Pelodiscus sinensis: one gene and its partners. The protein of the gene in region 1 purifies or fractionates together with the protein of each later gene. This does not show direct contact. Links are inferred from orthologs where the notes say so. Each region holds a gene or a part of one and is shown in the gene's direction. Other genes may lie near its edges. The genes, in order: SMARCA4, CREB1 and DDX5.

Region 1 (4,172 bases):
AGTTAGCAAAAGTGCTGGGAGACCATCTTGGTTAAACAATCTTGCAGCCCACTTGTGTGGCCCACTCACTAGCCTACATTGCCAGTGCCTGCCCCAGGAGAACCGCCAGCTCCTGTCTCATCATGCCCTTCCTATCAGCATTCAGCCCCCATCCCACCGGCTTCCTCCATCATTCCTTGGCCACTGTCCCCTCTTCCTCATGAGCCCCCTTAGCTTTCCCTGCCCATCAGCCCCCCATTCTCCTCCCCCACCTCCTGAGCCCCCTTCCTCCTCCCCCAGACCCTCCCTTTCCTGTGCCCTCAGCTTTCCCTGCCCATCAGCCCCTTATTCTCCTTTCCCCCTGAACCCCCTTTCCCCTCCTATGGCCCCCCTCCTCAGCCCTTCCCCTTCTGAGCTCTCTCCCCTTAAGGGCTCCCTGAGCCCCCCTTCTTCCTGAGCCCCTCCCCTCAACCCCCTCCCCCTCCTGAACCCCCTTACTGAGCCCCTCCCCTCAACCCCCTCCCCCTCCTGAGCCCCTCCCCTCAACCCCCTCCCCCTCCAGAACCCCCTTCCTGAGCCCCTCCCCTCAACCCCCTCCCCCTCCTGAGCCCCCTTCCTGAGCCCCTCCCCTCAACCCCCTCCCCCTCCTGAACCCCCCTCCTGAGCCCCTCCCCTCAACCCCCTCCCCCTCCTGAGCCCCTCCCCTCAACCCCCTCCCCTCAACCCCCTCCCCCTCCTGAGCCCCCTTCCTGAGCCCCTCCCCTCAACCCCCTCCCCCTCCTGAGCCCCCTTCCTGAGCCCCTCCCCTCAACCCCCTCCCCCTCCTGAGCCCCCTTCCTGAGCCCCTCCCCTCAACCCCCTCCCCCTCCTGAGCCCCCTTCCTGAGCCCCTCCCCTCAACCCCCTCCCCCTCCTGAGCCCCCTTCCTGAGCCCCTCCCTCAACCCCCTCCCCCTCCTGAGCCCCCTTACTGAGCCCCTCCCCTCAACCCCGTCCCCCTCCTGAGCCCCTCCCCCTCCTGAGCCCCTCCCCCTCCTGAACCCCCCTCCTGAGCCCCTCCCCCTCCTGAACCCCCCTCCTGAGCCCCTCCCCTCAACCCCCTCCCCCTCCTGAGCCCCCTTACTGAGCCCCTCCCCTCAACCCCGTCCCCCTCCTGAGCCCCTCCCCCTCCTGAACCCCCCTCCTGAGCCCCTCCCCTCAACCCCCTCCCCCTCCTGAGCCCCCTTCCTGAGCCCCTCCCCTCCCCTCATTTTCCCCTGCCCATCCCCTCCGCCTTCGAAGTTCCCTCCCCTTCGCCGCAGTGGCGCCCGCAATGCGCATGCGTGGCCGCGGCGGCGGTTTCCAGCCGGTTGGGAGGAGGAGGCGGCTCGCATCGCCAGCGCGCGCCACAAGGACGCGCGGACGCAGCTCGCCCCCTCCCCCTTATCCCCGCCCACGACCGCTCGAACGCTTCCTTCTCCCTGCTTCATTGGCTGCGGCAGGCTGGAAGGCGTGAGCGCGAGCCGCTTTCCTTAGCTCCCATTGGCTGATCGCGACGACTCTCGGCCGCAGGCAGGGGAGGGACCAGCCAGAGGTACTTGCCCATTGGTTGCAGCGCCGCCAAGGTGGGCGGGGTTAGCTTGGCTCGTTCTCACACCATTGGTCGAGGCGCGTGTCAGCTGTGCTCCCAGTGGAGGAGGGCGCTTGGCGCGCCGCCCACCTTGCCCGAGGGAGGGGCGGAGCGCGAACGCCCCTGATTGGCTGTGGCACGCAGACGCGAACGCCAAGGCGAGGCAGGGTCGGGAGGGGGCGGGCGGTGGCGCGCGAGCCCCACCGGGGCCTTCCCATTGGCCCAGGCTGCCGCCCCGCGCGCGCGCTGGAGCCGGATCGGGAGCGCGCGCGCTGCTGCTGCTGCTGCCTCCCGCGGGGGCGCGCGCTAGGGGGAGCTCGAGCCGCGTCTCCCTCACGCTCGCACAGTAGCGGCGGCTCCTTTGTCCCGCCGCGACGCGACCCGGCGGGGATGGAGCCCGCGAGCGGCCCCGCGAGGGGCGGGCACGGTGAGCGCGGGGAGGGGGGGCCGGCGCCCCATTGAATGGAAGGGCGGGGGGGGCTGAGGGGCTACGGCGGCCCGGCAGGGTCAAGAGGCCTCCGCGACGTTCCCTGCGCGAGAGCTCGGCCGCCCCCCCGCGCGGGGACCCTTCCAGCGTCCTCCCTGCCCCCCCCGTGGGCTGTGCCCCCCCGAGCAGCGCCCCTCCCCCATCCCCGGGGCACAGCTCCCCCCTCGCCCCTCCCCCATCCCCGGGGCCCTGGCCCCATCGCGGCCCCCCTCCCCGGGGCACAGCTCCCCCTCACCCGCCCCCACCCCTGGATCACTGGCCCTCCTGGGTATCTCACCCCCCCAGTCTCTGGAGAACTGGCCCCATCATGCCCCCATCCCTGGGGCAGTGTTCTCCCTGAGCATCCCTCTTCCCCCACCTCCCAGGGATGGGGGGGCAATGTGGGAGGGGTGATGCTCAGATGATGCCCCTGGGATCGGGGGGTGATAGGGGATGGCAGTGCCCCCCCCCCCCGTGATCATCTCATTTCTGGTGTACTTGCCCCCATGAGCACCTCTCCTTTCATGAGCACGCCATCCCTGATGTACTGCACCCTGTTTGCGTTTCCATCCGTTCTGGGGCTCTGGCCCTCCATCAGCATCTGCCCCTCCTCAAACATGCTGCCCTTATCCTTTAGCATCAACCCTTCCAGTCACCCCAATTCATTAACAGCCCTCTCTTTTCTTCCCAGAATACTTCCCCACCAAGGGGTTGTGCCCCCCCCTTGCTAATCAGCCTCTTTCCTGCCCCCTTTCTCCCAGAATCTCTTTGCTTCCACCTTGCTATCATCCCACTCCACCCAAGAAAGCTGTCCTTACCTTACTCCTCAGCATCTCCCTCTTTAGGCTGGGGTGCTTCCTCCTTATTGTTCAACATAAGTATCTTCTATCCTGTTTAAACTAGTTCCCACATCAATATCCCCCTCTCCCATTTCCGTACCTCATTTTGTGGATCCTGCCCACACTACCATCATCTGCCCAGTCCCAAGGAATTGTGTTTTCCTATCTCTTTTCTCTAGCCCATGGAGTTGCTCTACTCTATTCTCAAGAGCTATGGTCCCTCCTCCTTCCACCTTCTCTTTCTTTGGAGAATTGGTGATTTGAGGGGGTTGGCCTTAGATCCCCCAGGCTTACAACATCCTGGCTGGATTCCCTACACATTCATATATTTATTATGGGAAAGGTTCAGATTTTCCACCTGCTCAGGACAGAGCCACAAGAAGAAGCCAATCACTTGTGCTTGCAGGATGGTCTATAAATTCTCTCTCCTAGGAGTACTTCATTGCTCAGGCTCTGACTTCCTGGAGAGATACCAAGGTTCTCATGTGCTGGGGGTGGGGGGAGGTTGAAAGGAGCAGGATTAGCTGCTGCATCAAATAGGCACATAACCACAGACAGCTCCACATGCAAAGTCCCGCTGTCAGATGTATTGGGGAAAGGAGGTGCAAAAAATTGCCTCAATTCCACTCAGCTCATTGATATGAATTTGTGGGTGATGATGTTTTAAAGAGGATTTGCTCTCAAAGCCTATTAATAAGCACCCCCTTGCTCAGAGCATCCCCCATGGTTTCCTGACACACAAAGCACATTTAAATATGAATGGGTCTCTATGTAACACAGCTTCTCATTAGAAATCATTTGGAAATAAAGGGAATATTTACTGATGCCCCAATATTCTAATGGAGGGTTTTAACTGTTCTCTTTCATCTCCTGTTTTGGGGCAAATTTGTGCTGCCTTTGATGGTCACAAATCAGTTAACAATGTAGTCTATTGTTTTAAGGCAGAGGCTCTTTGTTGTATTTTGTATAACTGTAATAGGTTTTTAACAACTTTCCTTAAACATTGTCTTGCACACTTGTTTTTGTGGTGTTTCTGATGATCATTCATATAAAAAGTATCTTTTAATATTAAACATTTACAAAATGCTACATATTTTGAAATGATGGAGGTTTTGCTGTATGTTAACTTGACCCAAATGTAAGCATAGTTGAAGTCTGAGACTTTTAACTATAGATTTAATAATACCTAGTTCTAAATAATATTAAATATTTTTTACAAATTTTCCCTTGTTCCCATCTTTGAGTGATACATTACCCTAAGTATCTCAATTTCTGTTCTTC
Region 2 (4,172 bases), on another chromosome or scaffold:
CCACCAGACCAGGGCTCCAAGGCAGTCCAGAAGAGAAGGCGGTGGGGCCACCAGACCAGGGCTCCAAGGCAGTCCAGAAGAGAAGGCGGTGGGGCCACCAGACCAGGACTCCAAGGCAGTCCAGAAGAGAAGGCGGTGGGGCCACCAGACCAGGGCTCCAAGGCAGTCCAGAAGAGAAGGCGGTGGGGCCACCAGACCAGGGCTCCAAGGCAGTCCAGAAGAGAAGGCGGTGGGGCCACCAGACCAGGGCTCCAAGGCAGTCCAGAAGAGAAGGCGGTGGGGCCACCAGGCGGTTCTGCGTGGGGAGGGAGGGCAGCGAGGGAGGGGCCTCCCATTCCTGGAAGCTGGCCCAGCTGCCCTACGGCCCTGTTGGGGGAAGGGGAAGGAGGCTGCGGTGCGCGTGAGGAGCAATGGGAGGGGGCAGAGCTTCTTCCCGCACGCTGGTGTCCCACCGAGCAGTGAAATGTCTGGCAGGGCTTTCCAGGGCATTTCACTACTTCATGGGGAGCCGGGGCAGAGCATTTAAATTTGGGACTGTCGTGGAAAAATCGGGACAATGGTCCGCACGTCTATAGCTCAGGAGTGTGGGTTAGCAACTCTAAGTGCTACAGCTCCATCCATCTCCATTGCCGGCATTTATCACCAGTCCGAGGAGAAGCTGCCAAGGGCACTCCTCCGAGAGGGGGGCTTGCACCGGCAAACCCATCACACACCCGAATCTGCCATTCGCCCTCTTGGCTACAGGGCACTGACTCATCTCCAGCCTCTCATCCGCTGGAACCGCCCGGTCGGCGGTTCGGCCTTTTCCGCTCCCGCTCGGCTGTTTCCGTGCCTGGTCGGGCACCCCCGCAGCCGGTCGGCGGTTCGGCCTTTTCCGCTGCCGCTCGGCTGTTTCCGTGCCTGGTCGGGCACCCCCGCAGCCGGTCGGCGGTTCGGCCTTTTCCGCTCCCGCTCGGCCCTTTCCGTGACCGCCGCGTGTTCGGCCTTTTCCGCTCCCGCTCGGGTGTTTCCGTGCCTGGTCGAGCACCCCCGCAGCCGGTCGGCGGTTCGGTCTTTTCCGCTGCCGCTCGGCTGTTTCCGTGCCCGCCGCGTGTTCGGCCTTGTCCGCTGCCGCTCGGCTGTTTCCGTGCCCGCCGCGTGTTCGGCCCTGTCCGCTCGCGCTCGGCAGTTTCCGCGAGGGGCCGCGGCGCGCTCGCGCTCGCTCCCCGGCTGGCGCTCAGTCGGCCGCTGCCTGTCGCCGGGCTGGGGGAGCCGTGTGAGTGACGCGGCCGAGGTGTAGTTTGACGCGGTGTGTTACGTGGGGGAGAGAATAAAACTGCGGCGAGAGCCTAGGCGCAGCGAGAGCAGTGACGGAGCAGCCCGTAACCGGTAAGAGGAGGACGGCGCCCAGCCGGGGGGGGATGGAGCCGGCGGGGCGCAGGGAGCAACAGGCGGCCCGGCCTGCACCGCCAGCGGGAGGGGCGCCCGCTTTAAAGATGGAGCCGCGCCGAGCCCTGCAACATCCCCGCCGCCGCCGCTCCGAGCGCGGCGAACAAAGAGCAATGGCGGCGGGACCGCTCTGGCTGCCAGCTCGGCGCCGGGCCCCGCCTGGGCCGCAGGGACCCTCCGGAGAGCCCGGCAGCCGCTGTCCGGGCAGCGTGTCTGGTGCCCCTGGCCCGGGCTGCCCCCACTCAGGCTGGTCCTTCCCCGCCGCGGAGCCCGCTCCGGCCCCTCGCCGCCTCCGAAACCCGGGCCGGGCTCCGCGCCCCCGCCAATCCCGGCCCCGCCGCACAGCCCGCTCCGGCCCCTCGCCGCCTCCGAAACCCGGGCCGGGCTCCGCGCCCCCGCTAATCCCGGCCCCGCCGCACAGCCCGCTCCGGCCCCTCGCCGCCTCTGAAACCCGGGCCGGGCTCCCGCCAATCCCGGCCCCGCCGCACAGCCCGCTCCGGCCCCTCGCCGCCTCCGAAACCCGGGCCGGGCTCCGCGCCCCCGCTAATCCCGGCCCCGCCGCACAGCCCGCTCCGGCCCCTCGCCGCCTCCGAAACCCGGGCCGGGCTCCCGCCAATCCCGGCCCCGCCGCACAGCCCGCTCCGGCCCCTCGCCGCCTCCGAAACCCGGGCCGGGCTCCCGCCAATCCCGGCCCCGCCGCACAGCCCGCTCCGGCCCCTCGCCGCCTCCGAAACCCGGGCCGGGCTCCCGCCAATCCCGGCCCCGCCGCACAGCCCGCTCCGGCCCCTCGCCGCCTCTGAAACCCGGGCCGGGCTCCCGCCAATCCCGGCCCCGCCGCACAGCCCGCTCCGGCCCCTCGCCGCCTCCGAAACCCGGGCCGGGCTCCGCGCCCCCGCTAATCCCGGCCCCGCCGCACAGCCCGCTCCGGCCCCTCGCCGCCTCCGAAACCCGGGCCGGGCTCCGCGCCCCCGCTAATCCCGGCCCCGCCGCACAGCCCGCTCCGGCCCCTCGCCGCCTCTGAAACCCGGGCCGGGCTCCGCGCCCCCGCTAATCCCGGCCCCGCCGCACAGCCCGCTCCGGCCCCTCGCCGCCTCCGAAACCCGGGCCGGGCCCCCGCCAATCCCGGCCCCGCCGCACAGCCCGCTCCGGCCCCTCGCCGCCTCTGAAACCCGGGCCGGGCTCCCGCGCCCCCGCTAATCCCGGCCCCGCCGCGGCTCGGTGCCCTCCCAGCCCGCCGCGCCGCGAATCGCGCTTCCTCCTGATTCCCGCCCCGATGGCCAGCTGGCCCGCAGCGGTTCTCTCCCCCTGCCCTCCAGAGTGGGCCGCCCCCGCAGTCACAGCTCCCGGAGCGGGGCGATGTTTTAATTCGTGTCAGACAGACCTCTCGAAAGGTGTATCTTTATTCCCTGAAGCATACCAAGTGCTGCGGCAGACAGCCCTGTCTTAAGGGTCAGCTCTGTTAACACACACTGTCATGTATTGCACAAGTATCTTGGATTAAAACTGAATTTGAAAAGCTCCTTCTCTTTATGCTTATTCCATTCTATTTGGATAATACACAGCCTACCTAGTTTCACTCATTTATCGTCGATTTCATTTTCTGACTGATATGGTACTGGTCCGGTAATATCTGGTTAAAGGAATTGTAACTAAACTATGTAGAAACGTATGTAGTATTTTAGTTTGTTACAGGACTAGTGGCGGGGGGAGGGGGGGGGGTTTCCAATAAAAGCTTTTCAAGAGTTTATTCTGGGGCAGACTTGATTTGATGGGCTCTTTTTAAAATGGGGTATGCACATGTTCAGAAGAAACTGTCCAGGTCTCCCAAAGCATTGCTTTTCATGGCAGTTCAATTGAAATAGTGCAGAGAAGCTAATAATCAAGATACAGATCTCTGCACCCTACTCCTGGTATGTAGCAGTAGGAAGATGTAATCTTGTTAATACTTCAATACTAAAAATGAATTTCCCCATAAGTGTAACTGTAGGAAATTTTGATACAGTGGTCAGTCTTGCAACTAACCTGCAGGTTTCTTAAATGAGAATGCTGCAGACACAATGATAGTTGGGTTGCACCTGTACTAAAACTGTATTATTCCATTATCCTGTTTTATATTTGATATATATACCACATTACACAATTCTGAAAAATATTTTAGGTATCTTACCCCCATCATTGCCATTCTAGTTTTTTATTCCCTGCAGCTTCAGTATCCATACTAGAAATTCTTAATTTTTGTTTTGTTTTTCCACTTGCTGTTGTACACTTCCTTCCTTCAACTTCTAGGATTCTGCATCTTGCACAGTCTTTTCATCTAATTTAAAGGCACAATGTTTTCAATTTTTTGGGATTAATGATACATACAGTGGTGCTGGAGCCAGGAGTGGGAGTGAGGGGAGGCAGTTGGTGGGAACATGGCCCTCCCGATTTATCAGCTTCCATCCTGGAGCTGCTTTTCCAATGCCCCAGAACTAGTTTGGAGGCCCATGCCCATGTTAAAAAGTAGAGTAGGATTCCAGCACCTTTGTGAATCCTATAGTAGGTTTAAAACTTTAAAAATTATGTGGTTTTTATGAAGTTTGTGTGGCTTATCTCTTCCCTCCAAAACTTTTTTTTTTTAAATATATAAACTCATGCTAGCAACCCAGTGTGTCTGGGTCGATGGCTAGATTCGCCCAGTATAAGAAATTAAAACTTCAGTGGGGGGAGGAGGAAATCAGTTAACTTAACCAGTGGTTCTTGTG
Region 3 (4,172 bases), on another chromosome or scaffold:
TATTTCACTTAGGAAGGAAAAATTAAATGCACAACTACAAAATAGGAACTGTCTAGTTAGTAGTACTGCTGAAAAGGATCTGGGGTTCTCATGATCACAAATTGAACATTTTAACAAGGTGATGTAGTTAGAAAAAAGCTAATATAAATCTGCAATTTGTATTAAAATAGTGTTGCAGCTAACACTATAGTTAATTGTCTTGTTTTACTTCACAATGGTGGTGCATCAGCTGGAGTAGTGTGCCTAAATCTGAGTACTAAACTTTTGGAAAGATGTAGGTAAATTGGAGAAAGGCCAGAGAAGATCAATAAAAATTATACAAAGATTTAAAAAAACGGTGAGGAAAAGTTTTAAAACCTGGGCATATTATTCCCGAGAAAAAAACTGACAGAGAAACCTGATACAGGCTTGAAATATGTTAAAGGGCTCTTAGAAAGAGGACCATGAACAATTGTTCTCCATAGACACAGTAATGGACTTGGTCTGCAGCAAGATACAGGAAAATATTCCAAATAGCAGTTAAGCAGTGGAACAGGCTTCCCCGGGGGCTGTCACTGTTAAAGTCTTTCAAGAACAAGCTGGACAAACACCTGTCAGGGATGATCTGGGTTTATCCTGCCTCTCTGAAGGTTTGTGGACCTAATGACCTTTCAAGGTCCCCTTCAGCCCCAGTCCCAGGATTCTACATAAAACAAAGCTCCTGACTCCCAACGATCATGAACCACCTGCGGAGTCACATTTACTAGGTGTGTGTGTGTGAGAGAGAGAGAAGGGAACAGCCATGTCAGAACCTGGGGCTGTTGGGGGCAATGCCCTTTTGATGAGAGTGGGCTGGTTCCCCTATACAGCCTCGGGGCAGAGAGAGGGACTGTGCAGCGCCCCAGCTGGTTAATGCCCCCCTCCCGCTCCTCTTCCATCATAAAGGGGCTACAAAGGACACAGTAGGCCTCTGATGACAACAACGGAGCATGAGGGGGAGGGGATGACACCACCAGGAATGCGCAGGCGCGGGCGGCTCGCGCTCTGAGAAGCGTGGGCGCGAAAGGCTGAAGTTAGGGGGAGGGGAGGACGCCGCTCGAGGGCTTTGGGCACGCGCCTGGAAAACGGAAAGGGGGCGGGGATGCCGGGCAGTGACTGTAGCGCGAGCCACGCCCGAAGTGGAAAGGGGAACTTCCGCCTGCGAGGGTAAAAACCGGCCGGCGAAGCAAAAGAGAAGTCGAGAACCTAGCGCTCGCGGCCACGCCCACAGGAGGGGGAGGGGAATACGGCTGCTTCGGTCTCTGACGCAGGACAGAGGGAAGGGTTCTGAGTTCGCGTCACGACCCGGTTCCCAGCATTCCCTGGGGCGCCGGCTATATAACCGGCGTTCGGGCGCTTCGACGCTCCCCATTCATTAGAGTCGCCTGCAGTCCCTGACCTTCCCGTACCTTCTGCCTCTCGCTTCAGTGCTCGGGCTCGTCTCATCCGCCGCCGCCATTGCTATGCCTGGATACGACATGGACAGAGGGTGAGTCTGGGGCCCCGGCCGGCGCTTGCCGCCGTGTTTCCTCCGAACGGCTCTACCGGCCGTTGAACCATGTAAAATGGCGGCGGGGATGGGCGCCCTCTCCATCGATCCGCGAATGGCGGGAGGGGCCGCTGACTGCGGAGGTGGGGGGCGATGGCATCGGATCCCAGCAGTCGGGGGCACCTGGGGGGGGGGGGGGAGAGTGGTAGGCGAGCCCGGGGGCTGGTGACCGAATGCCGGTGAAGTACAAACTCGGCTGAGCAATCTGCCCTCGACGGTTGGGGATCGTCGGCTCCGGGTTGTGGGGGGGGGGGGGGGAGTTCGGGAACGCGCCCCTCCCCCCGCCGCTGCTCGGGCTCCAGGTCTCCCGGTTTGGTGGCTCGGGCAGTCGGAACCGTGTTTGGCGGTTTAACGGGTCGTGCACGCGCCCCTCCGGTGACCGAAACTGCCCCCTTCCCGCTCCGGAACCGCCCTGGGCAGATGGCGTCTGGGGCTAAAGCCGGCCGGCTCTTGCTTTGTGTTGTGTAAGCGGATGTGAATGGCCGGCCCCGCCATGCGGTGACTGAGGGGAAATCAAAATGCCGGCTGCTGCCTTTGTTCCTCCCCCTCCCCGCCCAGCCTCTAAAATGGCAGCGGCTGGAAAATGTGGCGTAGACAGAAATGAGAAACAAAGGAAACCGCGGCTGCCGCTCCGCCATGTTCTCCGCGGGGGCGGGGGCACTTCGCCGCCTAGCCCGGGTGGATGGGGACGGGGCCTGGAGGGGCGAATAACCCTTCACGGTGCCCGTTGGCCCAGTTGTGAGATGGGGGGTGCGTACTTGGCGGCTGAACGGGATTTGGGGGCGCTGGTGATTTTATCGTTTTCCGTCGAAGGGACTCCGATGCGCTTTTTATTTGGGACCCAGCGTCTTGCGGCCGGTTTTGTTTCCTTACCCGAATTCGTTGCGCTTGTTTAAATTAAAAAGCATCCCATAGGCACCCACTTACGAGAATGTTTCTAGATTTCATAACGCCCCACCCACGGGCATACACTGGCTTTCTTCAATCTCTGACGCACACTGGGAGTGTCACTTCTGTTACCAAGGCGTTAGGGCTAGCCTTGTTTTTGTTTCCAGCGATTCATTTTAAATGCTTTAGAAAATTAGGTGCTCCTTTATCTGGGGTGTTAGGTATTTGGTGACTAATCCTAATCTGCTGCTTGTGGCTTTTATTATACTTTGGAAGTGAAAACGGGCAGCTAAATGCTTTCTCCAAATATTGATGAACACAAATTAGGAATTAGCTATATTGAGAATTTTAGCATTGATCTGACTATGGAAGTGAGTTAACTGTCACATAAGAGACTGTTACATTTTGCAAACATTTTCATGGCTAATAATTTTTTAGGTTTGGTGGCCCTCGATTTGGAGGAAGCAGAGGCGGACCATTATCTGGAAAGAAATTTGGAAACCCTGGAGAAAAACTTACGAAAAAGAAATGGAACCTAGATGAACTGCCCAAATTTGAGAAGAATTTTTATCAAGAGCATCCTGATGTAGTCAGACGCACTGTGGTATGTACCTTGGCTGTTTGCTTAATTAAAATTGTTTATCTGTGCAGGAATTGACACTTAATGTGCTTTTTACTTGACGACTTATTATGTGGGATATGAATCAGTAAGTTTAGAGAAATTATTACACTTCATTTGAATACAACTGATTTCAGTCAATTTGCAATTTTGTTCTAGATAAAGCTTTAAATAATGCTAATGTAATTATGTTTTGCAGCAAGAGGTTGAACAGTACAGAGCAAGCAAAGAAATCACAGTGAAGGGCCATACCTGTCCAAAACCGCTTATAAATTTCTATGAAGCTAACTTTCCTGGTGAGTACAGATACCTGTATATCCAGGGGTTCACTCAGACATCATGAATGCAAGCATCTAATTCATTGGTTCTCTTTTGCAGCAAATGTTATGGAAGTAATTCAGGGACAGAATTTCACTGAACCAACTGCTATTCAGGCACAAGGATGGCCTGTTGCTTTGAGTGGACTGGATATGGTTGGAGTAGCACAGACTGGATCTGGGAAAACCTTGTCCGTAAGTTGTAACTTTACAATGTTCAGGTTATGTAACTGCATTTCCATGTTCAAAGTGTTACTAATACATAAAACTGCAAATCTAGTTACATTTCCTAGTGTTTTAGATATATGTATGTATAACATGAGTTTTTGTTTTCACACAGTACTTGTTGCCTGCTATAGTGCATATAAATCATCAGCCATTCCTGGAGCGAGGAGATGGACCTATTGTGAGTATAAGAATATGAAGCTCTTTTCTTTTAGAGGAATCTGGCTTTCTTAAATGCAAATTGTTGGGGTTGGAGTATGTGGATTGAGTAGAAAAGTTAGGCACTTGAATGCTGCATCATTATAAACCTTGCAAGTAGTCAGTTTCATGTTTTAGCTAGTCCATCAGGCTTAGGTGCATTGTATAGACTGTCCTCTAAGACTGAAGAATTCAAAGTGTGCTTCCCAAAATTGGATTAGCTTGAGGGCATAACCCCCTGTGTCAAAAGATGGCTGGTTTTGAGGGTACTTGTTGAAGGGTATCTTGGCAGTGAAACCTAAAGAAGCCTATTACACTTTTTAAAGTGTTACCGGAAGACAATCTTATCCACTTCTAA

The links.
Region 2: the proteins of SMARCA4 (region 1) and CREB1 purify together in Homo sapiens (affinity purification with western blotting; 3 studies listed by BioGRID, with this or other methods). This does not show direct contact. The link is inferred for Pelodiscus sinensis from reciprocal best matches to the Homo sapiens genes SMARCA4 and CREB1.
Region 3: the proteins of SMARCA4 (region 1) and DDX5 purify together in Homo sapiens (affinity purification with western blotting; 3 studies listed by BioGRID and IntAct, with this or other methods). This does not show direct contact. The link is inferred for Pelodiscus sinensis from reciprocal best matches to the Homo sapiens genes SMARCA4 and DDX5.

The regions. Positions count from the first base shown.
Region 1 is NW_027465894.1:296,780-300,951, forward strand, and holds the start of SMARCA4 (SWI/SNF-related matrix-associated actin-dependent regulator of chromatin subfamily A member 4), read left to right. Parts: upstream 1-1,842; 5' UTR 1,843-2,013; intron 2,014-4,172. UniProt on the Homo sapiens protein: ATPase involved in transcriptional activation and repression of select genes by chromatin remodeling (alteration of DNA-nucleosome topology).
Region 2 is NC_134717.1:75,875,692-75,879,863, forward strand, and holds the start of CREB1 (cyclic AMP-responsive element-binding protein 1), read left to right. Parts: upstream 1-1,163; 5' UTR 1,164-1,368; intron 1,369-4,172.
Region 3 is NC_134730.1:20,752,906-20,757,077, reverse strand, and holds the start of DDX5 (putative ATP-dependent RNA helicase DDX5), read left to right. Parts: upstream 1-1,309; 5' UTR 1,310-1,481; coding exon 1,482-1,507; intron 1,508-2,893; coding exon 2,894-3,059; intron 3,060-3,273; coding exon 3,274-3,370; intron 3,371-3,452; coding exon 3,453-3,586; intron 3,587-3,731; coding exon 3,732-3,797; intron 3,798-4,172. UniProt on the Homo sapiens protein: Involved in the alternative regulation of pre-mRNA splicing; its RNA helicase activity is necessary for increasing tau exon 10 inclusion and occurs in a RBM4-dependent manner. Binds to the tau pre-mRNA in the stem-loop region downstream of exon 10.